Lytechinus pictus: one gene and its partner. The protein of the gene in region 2 purifies or fractionates together with the protein of the main gene of each other region. This does not show direct contact. Links are inferred from orthologs where the notes say so. Each region holds a gene or a part of one and is shown on either strand. Other genes may lie near its edges.

Region 1 (3,758 bases), on a different chromosome or scaffold from region 2:
CTCCCTCGGCTTTACTAGGCAGTCCAGCCACCCCCACCAGACAAAAAAGTCTGAGCAATTTTAAGAGATTATTGTATTTGTCATTTGGAAGAGAGTCTGAGTAAAAACGTAACACTCCACAGTCAGATTTAAGATTATCTGCCTTCATCACTTAAAAGGGTGCGTTCACATTATGCTTTATGTTTGCATCCCCCCCCCCCTCCCTGCGCCCCGGTCCATACACCCCTACCAGACAAATAAAAAAAAGTCCTGTCAATTAAAAAAATCATTGAACACATTTTAAGATTTGAAATAGCATCAGAGATGTAAGATTATCTGCCTTCATTATACTAAGGGTGCCTTCTTATCATGAATGCTTTATGTTTGCATCCTACATATCATCCCTCCGCCTCCCCTTTCATACACCTCTACTAGACAAATAAAAAAGTTCTGTCTAAAAAAAATCATTGCACACAGGAAAAATTTTGAAAGGAAGTCAAATTGAAAAAGTGACGCACCAGATTTAATATTTTATGCCTTCATCAGTAAGTGTGCATTCATAATTATCTTTGTATCCTATCACCCCCCCCCTAACCTTAGAAAAAAACATCTCACCTAAGAAATTATTTCACAGGTTATTTTCTATTTGAAGAGTCTGGGTGAAATAGTTACACTCCAAAAAGAAAATGCTCTGCCTTCATCACTGAGGGTGCATTCACAATGTATGCATAATTTTGCAGGCATAACAAGCATATGAATTCATATCAACCACCTTGGAAACATAATTTGAAAAGAAGTTCACATCATGACCCATGCCCATATTTTTGGGTAGAAAAGATCTTTTAGAACGAGGGCTTATTTCCCAACGCACAGTTTGAAAAGTTGATATCACAGTTACTTTTTCCATTATTGAAAAAAAAAAACACTTTTCCATCCTTGAGTACATGTACGGTAAAAAAAAACCCTGCAAAATCTAGGTTTCCATGTTAGTTACCAATTAGGCCTTATCATAAGTCTGAACAAATGGGCCTTTAGTTTATACATGAAACTTACAATGTTATAATATACTGTAAAGAAAATTAACATCAAACTTCATTATTGATGATGTTGCATACATATTTGACTAGGAAGTAAACAGGTTTCGAAATGCATTTTTGTATGAGAGTACTTCACATGCAAAGAGAGACTCCAACAAGACCTAGATATTTCGAGCCAAACCTTTTTAAAATGCCTATTCTAAGCCCTTAAATATGAGTCTAAACACACCCTACAGTAAGACATGCTGGTATGTGAGGCATGCTGAGTTGAGGGGAGAGGATAAAGGTGTGAGCAATGAGGAAATTACATTTCTGCCTGTCAATGTGTACAGGATCACATTCATCTCATTCAAGGAGATACACCTTTAAGACAATCAAATAAATTATTTTAAAAAATGAATTCTAATATAATGTAATAGGAAAATACAATATATGCAAATAATTAATAGTTTTGGAAACAGTACATGCAGTATTATTACATGTTTACAAGCGAAACAATGACAAAATTTCCTAAGCACTGCATAATACTAAAGCTTCTTTGAAATACTAATGATGTGCTCACCCATTGGGCACATGGACCCTAGTCCCTAGTCATTCAAACAAAGCTTATTGATTGATCATAGGACACATTTTTAAAATTGATTATTCACAATCAATCATAGCAATTAGCTCTAATATCAATCACTATTTAGCTTGTTACAGGGCCCCTAAATAAGGGCAAAGAGACTTTACGCTTGGAATCTGGCAGAGATTATTGACTGCTATGTGGCAAGTTCTGATTTTTGTATCTGGAATTTAAGTGTACATGTATCATGTAATACTATACACTGTAAATATACATGTACACATACATGTAATACAAATTGAAACTACATGTACTGGAGTATTCGATGACTCAAGATTTGTAAACATGTATAAAGTTGAACAAAGTAGTGATCAAAAGTAAGGATATTATGGGAGTCTTACAAAATTTTAAACAAGTGACCACTGACCATGTTGAAAAATAAATATAAATTGTATTTACTTACCTTCTGCTGGAGGTTTGACGTGAGCTAGTCGTATGAGATCCCGATGTGACCATCCACAACGCTGCTTGCACCCTGTAACCAGCCGCGCCAACTCCTGGCCATCTTTGCCACAATACCAATTACATATTGCCTTCCTCTGCATGCGTCCCCAGCCTGTGCCCTCACCACCCTTCTCCACCCCGTCAACAAAGCGAAAGAGTCCAGACGCAGTCGGGCAGAGCTGACCTAGTTCGTTATACAAGGCCTTCTTTGCCGTCGAGTCCTTGCTCCTTGCAATGCAAACCAATACTTTCATGTAGGAGTCCTCATGTACTACGTGTCCAGCCTTGGAAAACTTTAGAAGTTCTTTGACAATATCTCCTCCTCGACCTTCCTCTAGGATCTTCTGCGTGCACTCTGGAAGGGGATTTCCCTTAGGTTCTTTGTTTACAACGTAGTATGTTCCGTTTGTTTGTCCCATAGAGAGGTACCGTCTGAGGGTGACCAGGTCCGAGTTGACCCCTATGTTGTTCGTCTGATCTTCAGAAGCCATCTTTGGTTGAGTTCAAAGGTCAGGCAAACTCAAAGCAAACTGAGGAACGTTTATCCTTGTGGTCTGCGAATTAGGTAGGGAAAGACAGGGAGAAAACAGAGTTAAACTGCACTCTTTGCAGCAAACATGTTTCTTTCAGTTTGTTTAAATTTGGAAAATACAAAGGGAATTTATTCATCTTCAGATGGACTGGAAATATTATACTAATTTTATTCCTAAAAAAATGTTAATCACCAAAAAATGTTAATCACCAGACCAACCATGGGTGAAAAACTTTTTAACTATAACTTTTTTTTCACAGCCAGGTATATGACTATAATCAGTAATTCAGTATGTATGGAAAAATAACATAACCTGCTTAACATTATTTGATTTCAGTATGTATTTTCCATAGACCTTTAATAGCCCTGGTTACTACATGTACCTCTGACATAGGGCCCATAGGGTTAACTTAAGAAAGACTTACTTTGAAGGAACAATAAGATGTCATCAGCATATTACTGTGTGAATCATCACCTCTATTAATGCAACATCCTGTGCAAGCATCTCACAGTAATACCACACAAATCTTTTTTTGCACTTATTTGTATCACAAGTTCCAAACCTACATGTTGAAGTCAAAGTAGCTTCCATTCCTTTGATCTGCTCTACACAAACAAAGCCTGAAGTACAGGGGGCATTTCATGATAAAAATGGTCAAAAGCTACTGAAATCCTTGCATCTGATTGGCTGAAAGAATATTTCTTGCTTAAAAACACTGACTAATGAAATGCCCCCAGGTGTACATGTAGATCCAGGGGTGGTATTCTGGAACACTGTCATAACTTTTGTCATAAATCTTGTCATTTGTCTCCGAGATGTGACACCGCTATGATTGTCACAAATCGGTATTCTGAACATTGTATTTTCCATGTCATATCTCTCAAAGTTCACGCCCATCTTTTCGGAAGCAAACCAATCAAAATCAGTGTTAGTTCCCAGTGGGAGCCCTTCTAGCCAATAGGGAGGCCCCGTGACAGGTAGGGCGTATCCCCAATACAGTTGCTGGCATCGTGCAAATACGCGAATATTGATGCGCTTAATTACAAAGAGAGACAGGGAGCTGTGAAGGATTTTAGAGGAGAAGTAGAAAAAGAAGGAAAACAGAGAAAAAAAGAGGAACCATTAATATGTAGGGCCTAA
Region 2 (3,758 bases):
AATTGATGCAGAGGTTCGAGGTTCGAGCCCTGGTCACGTCTTTCGGATGGTGACGTTAAAGGTCGGTCCCAGACGTAAATAATCATATCTGATTGATACACGTCTGACAAAACTCAAATACACACATTTGTAATCCTATTTTCATGAAATTTTCAGCATATTGCTCTGTGAATTTTACTCTATTTATTTAAATATAAATATTTTCAGCCCAGACCATCCCTTTAATGAGATCATACAGGCATCTCATAATAATCTTAGGTAGAACTGAAGGAAGGATCACAAGGTTTAGATACAGGATTACTGCAGATATGGGAAAAGATGCTGAAGATTGTGTGTTAATAATATTTTTATAGCACTTCAATCATGAAAAGATCTGATATCCTTTGGAGAATATAAAATAGAATAACTACACTGATAATCTTGTTAGAATGTGAATTGACATACGCAATAGACACTCCTTGCTCTCATAGACTGCCAGTATGCAGCGGTTTCTTCAGGTAGTGGCTTGTTCACTGCTCTTCTGATCTTCAATTTGTCTTCACTTATCTATGTGAAAAAAAGTCAAGACAATTTCACAAACCAAAGCAAACTAAATTTGTTATTTATTTCACTGGTCACCAGTATGGACTCTCTTTCAATAAATCAATGAATCTGATAACAAGTTTGCTTTCAACAAATCATCTTTCACCATACTGGATGTAAAACTAATGTGGATTGCAATCTAAAGATATGATATGGCTTCGCACACAGGTTCAAATCATCTAATTTGAAAAAACAAGTGGAGGGCCTCTAGCAGTCACACCTGTATTATGCATTCAATATAGCAACAGTGCTGACTTTGAAAACTATTATAGAATAATTATTCACAAAAGACACCATTCATATAATGATATAATACTATGTTCATTGACCCTAAATGACATTTGACCTTGGTCATGTGACCTAAGACTTGCCAGTGAAACTTGATTACCCCTATGTCTGTACGGGATGTTCAGTGATACATGTCCAAGTTTAATGAACTAGATCCATAAACTTTCAGTTATGATGGCAAATCAACAAATACCCCCAACTTGGCCAAAGTTCATTAACCCTAAATGACCTTTGACCTTGGTCATGTGACCTGAAATTCAGTAATACTTTATTACCCTTGTGTCCCAAGTTTCATTCACTAGGTTCATATACTTTCTAAGTTATGAAGACATTACAAAACCTTAGACCTTAGGTTAAGATTTTGATGTTGATTCCCCCAACATAGTTTATTAAGTTAATTTACCCTAAATGACATTTGACATTGGTCATGTGACCTGAAACTCAGGTAGGATGTATAGTATTACTTGATTAACCTTATGTCCAAGTTTCATGTACTAGGTCTATATAATTTTTAAGTTATGTCATTTCACAAACTTAACCTTTGGTTAAAATTTCATGTGCCTCTGCCGCTGTTGTCGGAAAAGCGACAACAAAAATTGATATACAGACAGATTAATACTGAAGATTTAATTTTTTTGTTTTTAGCACATAATTTCATATATTTCCTACCAAATGAGAATATGTAACTGTACAAATAGGTGCATAATATGTAAGCATGCTTTTACTTGAATTTTCAACTATATAAAATGTAATTTTGGCACAATGATAACATTATTAGGTTCCTGGAAAACTGTTTTTTTTTAATCTATATTTTTGAGTAATTTAGAATGTTGCACTCACCTCCATTAGACCTGTTGGAGAGTTTTCAAGAGCTTGGACAATGACATCGAAGTCTGATGTCAAGATTTTCAGTCTGTTAAACTTGATCATGGTTTCAAGTGGGACCCCTTTAGTTTTTAAGTCAAGGATTATATGCGTATGTATATCATTAGTAAGAAGGACATAAAAATGCCCAAGTTAACAGATGATATCCTAATTGTTGTTATCATTATGTTATATCATATATGCCTCATCACCACCACAGACATCACAATCATCATCATCATCATCATCATCGTCGTCATCATCATCATCATCATCATCACAATCATCATCCTGATCATTTGAGATCAGGGGCAGTTCCAGGATATAAAGAGAGGTTCTGGATGTCATTTAAAGAATGTAATTGCCATCAAGAAAAAAACAAGAAGCCCCCACTACATACATTGTAACTCTAAAAGTTAATAATTGCACTTCAAATAGATTCACTCCCTCTTCCTCCTCCTTCTTCTTCTTTTTCTCCTCCTCCCTCCTTCTCTTCTTCTTTACCACAATAAGTCAACCTTCCAACACCAGCATATTTTTTTTTACAAACTACTATTTAGTCACTACACTCATCAAAACTTAAATTACAAAGTATTTTAATAAAGCACATATACATCATCAGTCAGTGTTTTTTTTTGTAAAAGGATACATCCATTGTCTTCTCTGATCTTTAGCTGCAGGAATGTATCTCTTTTTAGGTTGGAGTCTCCAAAGTAGTACTGTATAAATGACAATAACAATAATAAAACAAAAATAAAAAGGGTAAGTATGAAGTACATGAATGTGGTAAACAATTTTGATGATGCCTAAAATGGCCTTGATGCCATTTTTGTGCCCTTTTAATTTTGCCCATTTGTGTTATGATATTATATAGAAATGTGTCTTGGTCTTAGCCTAGAAATATTGAAATTTAAGGTCTGGCTTTTGATAAACAAATTTAGGGACATTTGTTAATAAATTTATTTTCCTACCTCAATTTGTCTTGCAATCTTTTTCTCCAATGCAGTGGGCTGTGCATCACCTTCAGTTTTGACTTCGGTTTTGACTTCCATTTCGACTTCAGTTTTGACTTCTGTTTCTGCCATTATGACAATAGGTGACTACCAGCAAACACAACAATGTGGTATTTCCTAATGTATAGAGGGGAACAAAATGAAAAGATTAATTTATTCTAGAGAGTTATATGACATTCACTAACAGAAAAGGCAGTCCAATCAAAATAAAAGATAACACCAGCAAATTGTCAAAGAGTGTTGGTATCATCGGTAAACTTATGTAATTTCATATAACATTTTATTGATATTTTACAATTACCATTTTGACTTACCAGTACTTGTAGAATTACCCATTGGTAATAGTTATGTATTACAATAACGATTTGGTATGTGGTAAATGTAGACAAAAATGACTTTGCAGTTAAAAAAAAAAATCTAAAGGGATTAAACAGACAAAAGAACTAACCAGCATTTAGTATGGTCTACATTTGTGCAAAAAGACAACATGGGTAAGTATACATGCTCTAATGTATATCATGATAGAGTATAATCCCTCACATAAATCATACACATCATGATTTTTTTATATTATAGTAGAGGTAGGATTTACAGGGGTTAAACAAGGTAAATGTTTCAAATTCCTTTGGGCATCCGGTTATTTGATGCAGTGTCATCTCCTATCAGAGCATTTTGATACCATTTTTATTGAAATCTGCCCGAAAAAGAGGTGCCGACCCCCCTAAAAAGGATCTAGCTGGATGTGACCCCTAAATGGGTCCCATGTAGGCTTGTATGCGTGCATTTAAAATGCAACTTACGTGTTCTGTATCCGTTTGTGCAGATTTTAAAGTTGAATTAGTTTGTTTTCCTAGATACAAGTAATTTAGTTGTAAATAATTACTATTGATATAATAGTAATTATTTACAACTAAAATATAGATTTCATTTTAATAATTATTACTTGTTGAATAATAATTTTTCTACAAAATGCGCTACAAAACGGTGCCTCATACCATACATGTAGCTCTT

Evidence for each region. The genes of interacting proteins can lie anywhere in the genome.
Region 1: the proteins of lupus La protein homolog (region 2) and RNA-binding protein RO60-like purify together in Homo sapiens (affinity purification with mass spectrometry; 3 studies listed by BioGRID and IntAct, with this or other methods). This does not show direct contact. The link is inferred for Lytechinus pictus from reciprocal best matches to the Homo sapiens genes SSB and RO60.

What each region holds. Positions count from the first base shown.
Region 1 is NC_087259.1:23,601,562-23,605,319, forward strand, and holds the start of RNA-binding protein RO60-like, read right to left. Parts: upstream 2,639-3,758; 5' UTR 2,577-2,638; coding exon 2,045-2,576; intron 1-2,044. UniProt on the Homo sapiens protein: RNA-binding protein that binds to misfolded non-coding RNAs, pre-5S rRNA, and several small cytoplasmic RNA molecules known as Y RNAs.
Region 2 is NC_087245.1:18,646,143-18,649,900, reverse strand, and holds the start of lupus La protein homolog, read right to left. Parts: upstream 2,873-3,758; 5' UTR 2,820-2,872; coding exon 2,706-2,819; intron 2,454-2,705; coding exon 2,384-2,453; intron 1,818-2,383; coding exon 1,711-1,817; intron 547-1,710; coding exon 445-546; intron 1-444. UniProt on the Homo sapiens protein: Binds to the 3' poly(U) terminus of nascent RNA polymerase III transcripts, protecting them from exonuclease digestion and facilitating their folding and maturation.